2 linked regions of the Diceros bicornis minor genome follow. The protein of the gene in region 2 purifies or fractionates together with the protein of the main gene of each other region. This does not show direct contact. Links are inferred from orthologs where the notes say so. Each region holds a gene or a part of one and is shown on either strand. Other genes may lie near its edges.

The links.
Region 1: the proteins of EIF3L (region 2) and ZNF746 purify together in Homo sapiens (affinity purification with mass spectrometry; 3 studies listed by BioGRID and IntAct, counting the BioPlex papers as one, with this or other methods). This does not show direct contact. The link is inferred for Diceros bicornis minor from reciprocal best matches to the Homo sapiens genes EIF3L and ZNF746.

Annotation. Positions count from the first base shown.
Region 1 is NC_080742.1:95,598,722-95,606,429, reverse strand, and holds the start of ZNF746 (zinc finger protein 746), read left to right. Parts: upstream 1-4,664; 5' UTR 4,665-4,864; coding exon 4,865-4,888; intron 4,889-4,982; exon of another isoform or gene 4,983-6,120; coding exon of another isoform or gene 6,121-6,123; intron 6,124-7,708.
Region 2 is NC_080764.1:11,926,059-11,933,053, reverse strand, and holds the start of EIF3L (eukaryotic translation initiation factor 3 subunit L), read left to right. Parts: upstream 1-3,920; 5' UTR 3,921-3,990; coding exon 3,991-4,023; intron 4,024-4,560; coding exon 4,561-4,609; intron 4,610-5,750; coding exon 5,751-5,961; intron 5,962-6,995. UniProt on the Homo sapiens protein: Component of the eukaryotic translation initiation factor 3 (eIF-3) complex, which is required for several steps in the initiation of protein synthesis.

The sequences.
Region 1 (7,708 bases), on a different chromosome or scaffold from region 2:
TCACACTCATGCTACATGCTCGTCAGGGGTTGGCTGGGACCCCTATTTAACGTCTCCTCCCTCCAGAATGCAGGCTAATTCTCAAATATTGCTGGTCACCAAAGTAGAGGGAATGAAACCTTTGGAGGTCCCCAAGCTGTAATTAAATGCTTAGCTCAGAAATGGCAACTCATTGGCCAGAATTTGTCTCATGGCCCAACCCAACCAGCCATGTCCCTCAGGGGAAGCCAACTGGAAATATTCGGTGAACCGCAGTAATGACTACCACAACCTTTGTGAAAGTCCTAGGACTGAATCTTTAGGCTGTGTGCCTGTTCCCAAGGAAAACCTCAGACCTAAGGGAGCAGCTGGAAAAATCAAGGTCTATGCACACTGCTGTACCTGTCTAAGCATAGGAAGTACCTGCAGGGGCTCCTGGGTCAGCAGGAACAGTCTGAACCACGTGCTTCAGGCCTCTCTGATCCCCTGGGCTCACATGTCTCATGTTCACCAGCCTCCCCAGGCTCCTTCTGGGTGAGCTGCAGACGCTCAACGACCACCCCACCTTGGATTTTTCTAGGAGGGTGAAAGAGGTGAGGGTGGCAGTGGTAATAGACCAGAGGGAAGTGACGAATTCTTGGGACCATAGTTCATCACACTACATAGAATAATCGGTTAAGATTTGTACTATCTGTAAACCTATCAGGCCCTGTAGGGTATCAGGCCTGTAGGGGAGACAAGAGGACTAAGATAGAGCCCCTGCTCTCAGGAAACTTATGATCTATGAGGTGAGTTAGGACACTACTACCTTGTGTTATGATTTTTCCCTGAGTGCCAAATGAATGGTACCAATATTAAAAGTTATGAGCTTGGCCAAGGCAGAATTCACGGCAGGGTTGATTGGGCTACAAAGGCTTGGTGGAAGAATTAGGGCATGAGCTGGTCTGGGAAAGATGTGGGGCTTTAGGTGGGTTAGAGGAGGGGACAGAACATGAAGAAAGGCACAGAAGTGGAGATTCTCATGCCAGCTTACAGCACATATCTGGACAGACTGAGCCAAAAAATTGGAAATGGAGGGAAAGGCTATGGGAGGTCTCGAATACCAATCCAAGTGGGGTTTGTTTTTGTTCTTTTTGCAAACAGAGTCTGGAGAGCTACCTACCAGGGATGCTTGTCTTAGGTGGAAGTTTGGGCAAATCATAATTGCCCAAACTTGACTGTGCATCAGAGCCCCACCCCCATCCCTACCCTCAATCCCTATTAGGAGCTTGTTAAAAACAGACTTCTTTTAAAAAAGTTTTCCCCACAGTCCTCAGGGCCCATCCCTAGAGATTTTGATTCAGTAGATCTGGGATGGGATCCAGAAAACTATATCTTTCACAAGCTTCCGCAGAGACTCTGATGGAGCTGGTCTGAGAATCTGCCGGGATAGGTAATTTCTACCTAGAAATGGCCCTGGCATATACCAAAAGTTGAATTTTTTTCAATCACGTTTCCTGAAAACTAGCTCCTATTTCTGATCACTCTATTTCTGTTGCAGATGCACGCTGTTTCCATTCAGACTCAGGACCTCTCCTGGAATCCGTTTTCACATACGCTGCACATGCGGTTGGTTGCTGCCTCTTACTGCATATCCTTTCAGCTCTCTCCGTTCTGTTCCTTCCTTTCTGTCCCCCTCCTGCTACACTTGGTCGGACCTTTCCTCACCTCATGCTGGGACTCTGGCAGTAGCCTCCTGACTGATCTCTTATCCCTCTCCATCCCTCCCACACATGGCCCTCAGATAAGTCTCCCTATCGGCACCATGACTGGCTTACACACACACACACTTTCTTCCCAGTGGTGTGCAAGGCAGTTTACCAGTCTTGGGGAACACAAAGATGAGCAAGTCACGGCCCTTGCCCAGAGGAGTACCCAGCGCAAACAGCCAGAGTAGGCGATAAGGGCTTGTATTGGAAGAGGCTCACGAAATTTAAAGGTTTCTCATGTCCACCACTCCCTTTGGAGGAAAGTAATCCACACAGTTCTCTCCACAAAAAGTTGCTGATGGTTTGTGCCAAGTGCACAGAGGCACCTAACAGTGCTATTCTGGCCTCCAACCACCTCTGGCAGCCTTGGCTTCCAACTCTGCTCAAAAGGGGCACTGCCTGTTGGATGTAAGAACCGACCCAAACAGCTCCTCTCTCCTGGGAAGAATTCATTCGAGGGACACGCAGATGGTCACATAAGCCCAGGGTGTGCGCTGCTCACATCCTCCATGAGGCATGAAATACATCCCATCATGGAAGCACTAGGACCCCAAGGAGCCATATCACCATGGAGACAACACCTCTGCTTCCTTGAACAGGAAGAAGCCCCCTTCTCCAGGGTAACCCAGGAGCTGGCCCACACAAGGAGTCATGAGAAGATAAGCGAGTTGTCATGCAGAGTCACCACCAAACAGGCCACAATGAGAGTGGAGCAGTGGTCTTCAGTTGGGTCCAGTGTCAAAGCAAACTGGTGGTGAAAGGAAGGTAAGACCCAGGAAATTTACAGGATAGCCTAGGCCAACTTCCTCATTGTACATATGAGTAAGGAGAGCCCTGAGAGGCTGGCTGACTTGCCCAAGGACCTCAACCAGTTAGTGGTAGAACTTTCAGGACTCCGACCCCCGGTTCCTCCCACAATACTCCCAGTGTATATGTGCCAACCTACACAAGGCCTAAATATGTTCTGATGGCTTTTTTTTTTAATCAAAGACTTTACCATTAAGCTAATGAAGCTTAAGCTTCAGAGTGCCTCCCTTGCACCAACTCTGTACCTACTTTTAAATTTTTAATTTTGTGAAGTATTTTTCTTAATAATATTCCCCAAATTATAGAAGGTTTAGGTCCACAAAACAGAGATCCACCCTGGCAGAGGAGATGTGTTATTTGGGAAAGGAAGGATTCATGTAGGAGAAGAGCTAGAGGGAAAAAACAGGAAAAGGACCTCGGGGCAGATTCCGGAACATTCTGCTGTAGTGAGTGGGCCGATGTTACTCTCTCAGGGATTTACTCCAAAAGGCAAAAGGATGCCAGGGGCTCCAAGCTGGAAATCCCTACCCCCTCCCATTTTAGGGACAATCCCTGAGAGCTGGTGGGCACCAGAAATGAGGTGAAGAAAGAAATGAGGAAAAGAAAATGAGGTGAAGGGAACAGACCTCTCCAACCAGTTTGAGTAAAGTCTCCCCTCTTCCACTCCTGGGGAGATTCCACTTTATACACAAAGAAGAATGCATCCAGGACGACCCCTGGTTGAACGTTCAGCCCAGGCTGACAGAGAAAACAAAGGGCACCTCAGGACCCCGGCTGCTAGACCCCAAGCCCAGGAGTCTGGGGCACCGGGGACGTAGGTTCCTCCTCTTTGGAAAAGAGTCCCACCTAGCAGAGGAAATTCTGGAAGGAAATGCATCTTTGTGACCACATGGGGGCCTCCTTCCCTCCGCCAGCTCCAGTTCGCCTCTTAAGGAGTTTTTTCAATTTATTTATTGATTTTTTTCTCTCTTTCTCATTTAAAAATACTATTCTTGTTATTATACAGTATTATTATTGTTATTACAAAATTTAAAAATTTGTAAAAAGTTAGAAAATGTGGAAAGATGGCCCGTGGTCTCACCGTTAAAGAAAACTACTTAAGACTATATGCTTCCAAACTTGTCTTTATATATATAGATTCATCTTAAAAATAAAAATGGGATCTGGACAGGCTTCTCTTAAAATATCATGAACGTCTTCCGCTACCGGTTCTTCACAAAATAATTTTAAATGATGGTATTGTGTTCCATCGTTCATTCCACTAAAATATGCTTTATAAGTAATGAACACGTCATAGAAAGTTCTAAGTGGCTGCCCACCAGCATTTACCGAACTATATTCCTATTGTTAGAAGAATTTTTTCCATTTCAAACCAAAGGTAGACGTGAGCTACAGCTGTTCAAAGAAGTACTCAACACATACGAAGCGCATATCGCCTGGCAGGCCCTGAAGCAGCAGAGGCGACGTGGCGGTGCCCTCGGGGAGAAGGCGCAGGTCTCCTGGGGCTCGCAGGGGGAGCGGCTGCCGTCGCCGCGGTCACTTGGGGGGGCCGGTCGGTCCCTGGAGCGGGGAGATTCTTTTTGGTAACCGAGTCCCTCCGGCCGCGGGGGGGTCCAAAGCCGGAGGCGCTCGCGAGGCGCGGCCCGAGGCAGGTCGGGCACCGGGTCCGGGCGGTGACTCAGCGCGCGCCCGGCCGTGGGCCGGTGGGCTGTTGGGTCGGGGGTCGGGGGATCGGGGGTCAGGGGGTCGCGGTCAGGTGGGTCGGGGTGTTGGGGTTAGGTGGGCCACGGTTCGGGGGGTCGGGGGATCAGGTGGGCCAGGGGTCAGGGGGTCTGGGGGTCGGGGTCAGGTGGACAGGTGTCCCGGGGGGTCGGGGGTTCGCGGTCAGGGGGTCTTGAGCAGGTGAGCAGGTGGGCCGGGGGATCAGGGGGTCGGGGGTCGGGGGGTAGGGGTCAGGGGGTCTTGAGAAGGTGAGCAGGTGGGCCGGTGGGCCGGTGGGTCCGGCGGCGGGGCGGGGCGGGGCGGGCGCGGCGCCTGCCGTTCGCCTCTCCGGGCTGCAGGTGGGGCTGTGCGGCCGCGCTGCCTCCAGGAAGCCTCACGGGCCTGCGCCGGCTCCCAGGATGCAGTGTGGACCGGCCGGGCGCTGACGGCGGCGGCGCGTCTGCGGGCGGAGCGGCGCGGGCCGGCCAGCGAGGAGCGCGGCGCCGCGGGCGGGGAAGGCAGGGCCGGGCGGGCGCGCCTGCGGAGAGGCCGGGGGCCGGCCTGCGTGGGGCCGTGCGGCGGCGGCGGCGGCGGCGACTTCCTCCGGCCGGGCCGGACAGCGCAGGGCCATGGCCGAGGCGGCCGCGGCTCCGGTAAGGCGGCCCGCGCACGGACGCGCGGACTCGGGCCCGGGGCCAGCGCACGGCGCCGCAGGCCCTGAGGAGGGGCTCCGGGGCCGGGCCGGGCCGCCGGGCCTGGGGCTCCGGCGAGCGGGGCGCGGGGTCCGCCGGGGCCTACGGCGCCCGCCCGCCGGCCCGGCCCCCCGTTCCGGGCCGAGCCTGAGCGGGGCGGAACCGGCCGTCCCCGCGCCGGAGGCCGCCCCACGCCGAGTTCCTGCAGCCCTCCGCGGCTTCCTGCCCCCGCCCCATCCGCCGGCCCCTTAGTCCCCGCGCCCCCCACCCCGCGGCTCCTTTCTCTGCCCACCGCTCTGCCCTGCGTCCCCTACCCCCCAGCTCCCCCCAGCGGCCTGCTGGCACCTGGGAGGTGTCCTGAGCGGCTTCGATTCCGCCGACACCGAGTACCCGGGGTGCCCAGCTCGCTCAGCTGCTCCCGTTCGTAGAAGCGGGCACGGCGCCGGCCCCGTTAGGCATTATTTTGTCCTCACAACAAACCTGTGGGGTAGGTACTCCTTCTCTGTCGTACAAAAGAAAGCCTGAGGCCTAGAGAAGTTCACTTGCCCGGATCGCAGAGCTAGAGAGTCTGTGAAGAGAGAGGCGCGCTGTGTTCAGGGCACATTGTGTTGAGGGGAGCAGACAGGTACCCTGGAAATAATAACGCAAAACAGAAAGAGGTGAGGGCTTCTTGCCTGGAGGAGGAAACAGGCTGTGGAGTGCGGGGCAGGGAGGGAAGGGGCCGGCCTGCGCTGCCGCGCGCCCTTCCTGCCCCGTGCTCCTGTGGTTTGAGCTGCGCTTTTAGGGAAGGCTAGGATTTCTTCAGGCTGAGCTGGACCCGTGGAGCTTTTCAGGTAGGGAGGACGGCTTGGGCACAGAGAGACAGGCAGTGTGGGGCATGTTCAAGGGTAGGAAAGGAGTTGTACGCCTGGAAAAGATGGTTTTGGTAGGGGCCAGTGAGAGAGGAGGCTGCAGGGAGACCTGGAAGGGGTTTCAGTGCCTGGACTTCATCCTAAGGGTGGGGAGCCCTTGAAGGATTTGGAGTTCTCTCGCCATCAGCTCCCGTTAGAGTTCCCGCTTTCCTGGCTGGGGTCTGAGGACAGCCCCATATTGTCTACCCAGCATCTAGTAAGGAGCTGGGCTGGAGCAGAAACAGTTGTCACCTCCCACCAACTGGTGTGAAGGCCTCACGTGGGACTCCCTGCCCTGTTAAAATGGTAAGAAAACTGCACATGCCTTGTTTATAAGGGAGGAGTTTATGCAGATGCCCTTGTCCTGCAACGCAAAGACTGTAGTCAACACAGCCGGCTGCAGTTGGAGGGGGAGCTGGGCATGAAGTGCAAGGACACCTCTGGAGCAAACCCATGGAGGCTGGGGTCGTATAGCAGGGATTGATCAGAGAGGAGGAGAGAGGGAAAGGGAAGGAACGGTGGCTGTTGTGGAGGGCAACCTCACACACCCAGTGCTGAGCCACCCAAGGTGCCCGCCCAGTGCAGTCCCTGCAGCCTTGGGGCAGGACCACCTACCTCTGGAGAGCAAGAGTCCCCCCCATCCACTTGTGCCCTCAAACGGGTCTCTGCCCATCCAGCTCCTCCCCATCCTCTGAAACCCAGCTAAGCCCTTGCTTCTTCAGGTCAGAGGTCATCTGGTCCAGCCTCCCTCCAAACAATCACAGAATTGCTGATGCTCCATCCTTGACAGTTTTTTTTGGCCTCTGCTCAAACTCTCCTTCTGGCGCTATTTTCTGACGTGTCCACTCATGTTCTGGTTCTCTGTGGCTTTCTCTAAATGAATCCACACTGGTTCCTACTAGTCACTTCTCTATTTTGCAAATAAGTCGCCAACCTTTTGTTTAGGAATAATTTCTAGCATGTTGTAAGGAACCATCAATCCTCAGGCACTGCCAGAAGAAGGCACAAATGGCAAGACCTCCTCTTGGACCCCTGGGTCCACCCTTCAGCTGTGGGTGAAGTGGGTCCAGCCCCCACCCAAAGCAGAAAGTGCCCTTTCCTCAGTGTCCCCAGCTGCCCCAATACAAGCTACTGTGTGAACTTTGCGGCGACAGGGAAGTCACGGCGTGGGGAAGCTCCGTGTCTTTATGATGGTTGTCACACATTTAAAAGCCTTGCCCTATGGCACATGTCTTACCTTCCTCACCAGTCTGCAAGGTGTGTCACTGATCCGGGGCAGCTACAAAGATGTCTGAGACCTACTTCTCCCCTTGGGAGGGGTGGGAACAGTGAGAGAAAAATTCAGAATCTCGGGGGGCTCAGGGGACTAGTGTTGTATCAAAAAGTCTCTTGGTTGGTGGGGATTTGCAGTAATGGTGGTTTTTAGTTTGGGCGTAGGCAGTTGGAGAGGGGACAAATCAGATTGTCCTGAGGGAGAGGAATTACCCATTAAGTTTTTATGTTTATCAAAAAGAGACACGAGATGCTTTAAAAAAAAAAAAAAGAAATTGAGCAACGCTCTTGTTTGTGCCGTTTCAGTGAACCAGCTGTTTTTTTTGCTAGGTCATCATCAGTAGACAGTTCCTGTGCGATTATGATGGGAGGTGCCGGCTGGGCTCTAGTCAATCTGCAGTTTACTGTTTCTCCACTAAAACGCCCCAGCAGTGCTCAGTCACTGTTTGTTTAGCAGAATTGCACCGAGTGCCTACCATGGGCCCTGCACTGTGCTGTGAAAAGACGCAGTGCTGCCTTCGGAGAGCTGGTCAAGGCTGTGGGGGGTTACTGTGTAGGGCGGTCAGTGCCATGCTTGGAGTCTGCACGGTGTGCTGCAGAGGCCTAGAGGGGAGACATC
Region 2 (6,995 bases):
GGTCAGAGAATTTTCTGCCTCAAATCCCAGGCAAAGGAAGATCAAGAGAAACAGGGCAGCTTTTCAGCTGCTAAATCGTCTCAGCAACTCTCCCAGGTAAAATTATTCCAGGAGCTTTGGTCTGCCCACAGTTTCCTTCCCTTTGAAGTAGTGCTTCCATTAACAAGAGAGCCTTGCAAAATCAAACACGCAGTGCTCAGACATTTCATAGTCTGTAATGGGGTTCCAGCTGCTTTCGGGTCGAAGTTGCATTTCTAAGCAGACTTAATGTGCTGCCAAGCAGTGGCCTAAGTTTGAATTCAAATGCAATTCTACAAATATGGACTGAGAATTGGAGGCAGGAAGGGTGAGGAAGCCGTTACACTACCAATGAGATGATGGTGCCTTGGACAAGAATGATGGAGACAAGGTGGTGAGAATGGAGAGTCTGGGAATATTTTGAAGGTAGAGCCAACAAAGTGCAGCTGCACTGAACGTGTGGTGTGAGGAAGAGTCAAGTCAGGGGTGGTTCTGAGGGCTTTGGCCTGAGCGACCGAAAGAATGAAGTTGCCGTTAACTAAGATGGGAAAAACCGTGAGAAGAGCAAGGTTGAGGCAGAAAATCGGAAGATCAGTTTGGACATGTTAAGTTTGAGGTGCCCATTAGACATCCGGGTACTCACATGGGCCACTGAGCCCAACTCAGGAGTGCGGTCTGGGTTGGAGATATAAATGTGGGGAGTCAATAGCATATGGATGATATTTAAACCTACTGGACTGGATAAGACACCCAGGGAGTGATGGCAGATAGAGGAGACCAAGCCCAGGGAGAAGGGGCAGTCCACTATTTAGTGATTGGAGAGAGGAAGAGGACTTAAGAAAGGAGGGTGAGGGCCAGCCCCATGGCTTAGTGGTTAAGTGCGCGCACTCCGCTACTGGCGGGCCAGGTTTGGAGCCCAGGCGCATACCACGCACTGCTTCTCTGGCCATGCTGAGGCTGCGTCCAACATACAGCAACTAGAAGGATGTGCAACTATGACATACAACTATCTACTGGGGCTTTGGGGAGAAAAAGGGAAAAAAAATGGAGGAAGATTGGCAATAGATATCAGCTGAGGGCCAGTCTTCCTCACACACACACAAGAAAACCAACAAAGGAGGGTGAGAAAGAGTAGCCAGTGAGGAACGTTCTCTCAGAGCCTTTACTAATCTCTAAGTTAGAGCACACATTCTGGAAGAGGTAGAAAGTCATGAATAAATAAATAAAATATATATTAGATGGTTGTAATCAAAGAATCCAAGTTTCTGGTGACTGAAGCTTACATGAAGAACAAAGAACAGAAAATTACAAAACCAGAACTAGGTAGGAAAGAGAATATTTATTTAGAACAAGGAATCACAACACAAATTGTGGGAGAAATCATGCAATCACAAATTGCAATTTGTCATTTTAAAAAGCTGACAAATAATACAAACATCACAAAATCCAGAAAAGTAACATATTTGTTAATTTTCTTAAACACCTCCATAAGATGTTTTCTATTTTAGGCTGAAAAAAGCAACAGGAAAAGCATGAAAAGCAACAGGATATATTGGAGTGTATGAGGAAACCATTTGGTTTAAAACTAATTCGGGGGCCGGCCCCGTGGCTTAGCGGTTGAGTGCGCGCGCTCCGCTGCTGGCGGCCCGGGTTCGGATCCCAGGCGCGCACCGACGCACCGCTTCTCCGGCCATGCTGAGGCCGTGTCCCACATACAGCAACTAGAAGGATGTGCAGCTATGACATACAACTATCTACTGGGGCTTTGGGGGGAAAAAATAAACAAATAAAATCTTTAAAAAAAAAAAAAAAACTAATTCGGCCTGACCTTGTTTTTCCAAAAGGGCCTGTCATGGCCTCTTGAGCATGCATTGTACATCTACTTTAATCATTTACAATGTCCCAAAGACAAGAATGATGCCCTTAAAGATAGGGATGTATCTTCCCCCATATCATTTCCTTAAGGATAAGCATCTCTTCCTAGAAACAAGAATTACCGACCTGCTGTGCTCACCTTGTGACCACTGACCTGCTGTGCCAGCAAAGCAATCTTGTGACTATTGTAAAAGGGACGTTCCTATCATATGTGATGTATGCTCTTTGTTCCAAGACGGTATATAACCACTCTGTTCACCCCACTTTTGTGTCCTTCCATGCTTGGGGAAGGCAGGCCCTGGGCTACAGTCCTCAAACCCGGCTCATAATAAACTCACCCCAATTTTGATTTATAGATTGATTATGGATTATTTGTGTTGGCAGGCTGACTATGCTTTGGTCGCCTCTTTATATGACCACAATTTCGTATCATAATGAGAATGGAAAGATAATTTAGTCTATCCTCTAGCATGTTCCATCAAAATTTTTTATTAATAATTTAGAAAAACTTCTTCCAGTTTTACAATTCCTTTTTAGTAATGTCATGAATATTTTGAGAATTGTTGTCAAAGTTGGGGACAACCTGTATGAAATTTTTGTCCTATATAACTATAAAATTTCAAGCTTTCTAGTACCCTGATTAACCTTAAATACTCCTTTCATTGAGGACACTCACTGATCACAGGGGATGGCAGGTACAGCTTACACTAGGAAGGCCAGTGATAACAACTATACGTGGAACAGTATCACATAAACATATTCTACTAAACTCAAATGTTCCCAACTGGATTTCCTCTAGCTGGATCCCAAACGCCATTAAACACAAGGGGCAGTATGACCGGGGAAATCGGAGTAGAAAGTGGTTTTAAGCGACTGCAGTAAAAATATTACTTTTGCAAAGTTTACAAAAACATAAGACCATGCAAGCACGTAGCTGGGGGCCCTCCTTGAGCCATGGAAGAACCCCGGGGAATCGAGAGGCCCTAAAGTTTAAGCTTTAGTTCCATGACGGTCTCACCTCTTGGTGATAGTGCAAAGAATGAAGGCAAAGTAAAACGCGGCACAGGGAGCTGGGGCGGGAAGTTGCAACTCGAAACATGTAGGATGCTCTGAGTCGCTGGCATCAGAGTAAACAGCTGAAGGAGGTGACGGAGCCAGCCTTGCGGACATCTGGGAGGTCTGCATTCTACAATCTAGACCAGGTGAGGCGGAGCGTGCCTCGCTTCGGAAAGCTGGGAAGGCTGTGTGACAAGAGGATGCGGGCGATGAGGCCTACAGAGGGAGAGACACAGCCTGGTCACACAGCAAATCAGTGGCTGTGACTAGAATCCAGATTTCCACTGGGTGTTGTGGATGGGCAGATGGCTAAACGAAGGCCCTTGACTCACATACCAGTTTCTGTTGGTTTGTTTTATAACCCTGTCCCTAACTCCAGGACTTCCCAGGACTCGAACCCACGCTACCGCCGGATTCGCAACACGACCCACAGCCTGAGCGCTCCGTGCTTTACCCGTGGGTCGCAGGGCCTCACACCACAGCTGGCCTCATCTTTGCCTGCTCCAACCTTCAAGTCCAAAGTCGGAAGCGCCTTTTCTCAATGCCCTCTCACTGCACGGGACCAAGTCTCAACTTTTACACCCAGGAAGTATAGTCTTTTGAGAGCAGAAAGTTTGAAGACATTTCTCGCCGCAGGCAAACCGCTTACACCTAAATCCAATATCAGGCCCCCACGTCCGAATTTCCCTTCACGCGAGAAGTCGGCCGAGGAAGTTGTCAGCCATCTTTTGTGTGGCATGACTTCTGGCTTCTCTTACTTTGCCCATCCTCTATTACGGCGAACCATGTCATGTCCTTATTTCCGACTTTACGCAAGTACTATAGGGCCACGATCCTTGTAAATTCTCTGTTTGAAGAAGGAAGGAAAATTTAGGTGTTTGTCTTTTCCGCCCTTCCTAACGTGGCTGTCTCAGCTCGCCGGCGGCCCGGAAGGGCTTCCGGTTTCCCGGCAGGCCCGAGCGGGCCTGAACTTCCGGCCTCGCCGCGCGGGGCGGGACGGTCTTTTCGCTCTCTCCCGCGGTGTTCGTGAGCGCCGCAGCCATGTCTTACCCTGCTGATGATTACGAGTCCGAGGTAACCCGACCCTAAGAGTGTGCTGGGCTCCGCGACGGGGGCAGGGCTCTCTGGATGCTGGGCCCCGCGGGCAGGCGGTGTCCGGGCGTCTCCGGGAGCCCCGCGGGCCGACCGGCTCCGGCCCGCCTCCCTGCCTGCGCGGCCCCTATGCTGCTGCCACAGCTCCTGGCTCCTCGTCAGCCCTGTCTCTACCCGCCCACTTCGCAGGGCCGGTCCCTTCGTCCTCTCCTTTCCCAAGACCGGGCACGGAGGCTGGTTATGGGGTTCTGTGTTTCTGTAACTGAGCTCTTCTCATGGTCTGCGCTCGGTCTTGAATCCCGCTGGTTCCCACGGTCTGTCGTGCTTTGCCTTATTGCGCTCCTAACGTTGTGTTGTCATTGTTTTCGCTTTGCTCCCATGCGAGGTCCTCAAAGGCAGGGACTGTGTCTCATCCACTTTTGTATCCTTAGTATCCTGCGTGGCACGTAGGCCCTAGAACGAGCATTTTGGATTCACGAATTGGTGACTGTTCTTGTTTTTGTCTCTTTTCGTTGACAGGCTGCTTATGATCCGTATGCTTACCCGGGCGACTATGATATGCATACAGGTGAGACTACAGGTTGGTCTGGCTAGCTAGGTACGGCAACTTAGGGTTTGGCACCTTTATTAACGTTTTGCAACAGCTCTAACGCACGGCTGTTTAAAACTGCTTCTTGATGGTCCAGCTTTGGCGTCAGTTATTAGCTTTCAGCAGGAGGGTGGTATAGAACCTCATAAACCAGGCCTTTTTCATGGTCCACTTCCAAGTCTCAGAAGGGAGGAATCGCTATCCTGGCTGTGGTTTCTTTGTTTAAACTATTAGCCGAAGAAGAAAATCTTGTTGTGAAAAATTAATGATTCAAACCAAGTCCAAATGGAAGGTTTTTTTTTTTTAAAATAATTTTGTTTATTTTTCCCCCAAAGCCCCAGTAGATAGTTGTATGTCATAGCTGCACATCCTTCTAGTTGCTGTATGTGGGACGCGGCCTCAGCATGGCCAGACAAGTGGTGCGACGGTGCGCGCCCGGGATCCGAACCCGGGCCGCCAGCAGCGGAGCTCGCGCACTTAACCGCTAAGCCACGGGGCCGGCCCCAGATGGAAGGTTTTTGACGTTTCCTGAAATGTCCTAGTGAGTTGGCTTGACTTAGCACTTAGTAAGTGCCATGCATTGTCCCGGTACTTTGCGTGAAGTATTTAATTTAGTCCTTACAAAAGTTTTATAAAGTACGTAAATTAGTGTGGTGTCCGTTTTAGAGATGAGAAAACTGAGCACAGAGAAGTTTAGTAACTTGCATCGTGCCATAGAGGTAGAAAACGGCAATCATTCATTCATTCAAAAAATATTAAGTACCTACTAACCCCCCCTTACTACAGTCTTCCTCTCTCCTCCAACACACGTGTTAATTGTTCTAGGTTCTGAGGGTGCCCCTGGGTACAAGACAGACAAGCTTCTTGCCCTCATAGACTTTAGATTCTAGTGGGGAAACAGATAATAAGTAAATAAATAACTAAGTAGTGGTTAATGTTCTGAAGAAACAAAGTGATGGGATTGAGAGTGACCTAGGAGGATTGTATCCCTTGAGTGTTTAAAAGGGAATTATATCGATTTTATAGAGTTTGGTTTGGGGGATGGGATTGTCCTTTTGTTATGTCATATATATGGGTTTGAAAGCACTTTTGTAAAGTGTTGATTATATCCAACCTCTAGGAGATCCAAAGCAGGATTTAGCCTACGAACGGCAGTATGAACAGCAAACCTACCAGGTGATCCCCGAAGTGATCAAAAACTTCATCCAGTATTTCCACAAGACCGTCTCGGATTTGATTGACCAGAAGGTGTATGAGCTGCAGGCCAGCCGTGTCTCCAGTGATGTCATTGACCAGAAAGTGTATGAGATCCAGGACATCTATGAAAACAGGTACTGGCTGCTGGCTGAAATGACCTCTTTCTGAGTGGGACTGGCTTGGTGATGCTGCCCCTAAAAAGGGGTGATGGTTAATCATTTTTCTGTAAAGAGAGTGTCCAAGGGGTTTCTGTGATTCCTTGGGGCTAGGGACATGTTATTTTGTTGGTCTGTGTATCCCCATAACTTGTACAAGGCCTAAAATAATGTCAGTGTCAATCATTATAATAGCAATTAGTGTGTATAATCGGTATATATCAGGCAGTGTTCAGCATGCTTTTCCTGTATTTACTTATTTACCTTTCACAGTAACCCCAAGAAGTAGGTACAGTAGTTCACCCTCATCCACGGTTTCATTTTTTTGTGGTTTCAGTTACCCACAGTCAATCGCGGTCCGAGAATATTAAATGGAAAAATTCCAGAAATAAACGCTTCATAAGTTTTAAATTGCGGGCCATTCTGAGGAGCTTGATGAAATATGCTGTCCCTCCTGCGACATGAATCGTCCCTTTGTCCAGCATATCCATATTGTATATGCTACCCGCCTGTTAATTACTGAGTAGCTTCCTCAGTTGTCAGATCCACTGTCACAGTATTATAATACTTGTATTCAAGTAACCTTTGTTTTACTTAATAATGGCCCCAAAGTGCAAGAGTAGTGATGCTGACAATTCAGATATGCCAAAGAAGCCGTAAAGGGCTTCCTTTAAGTGAAAACGTGAAAGTTTCTTGACTTAAGAAAGAGCACGTATACTGAAGTTGCTAAAATCTGCAGTAACTTTTATTACAGTATATTATTATAGTTGTTCTATTTTATTATTGTTGTCGTTAGTCTCTTACTGTGCCTAATTTATAAATCAAACTTTATCATAGGTATGTATGTATAGGAAAAAAAGTAATATACATAGAGTTGGTACTGTCTACAGTTTCAGGCATCCACTGGGGGTCTTGGAACATATCCCCCTGCGGATAAGGGGGGCCTACTATACTATCGTTCCCCTGATTTTACAGATGAGGAAACAGTGCACAGAAAGGATAAGTCATATAGC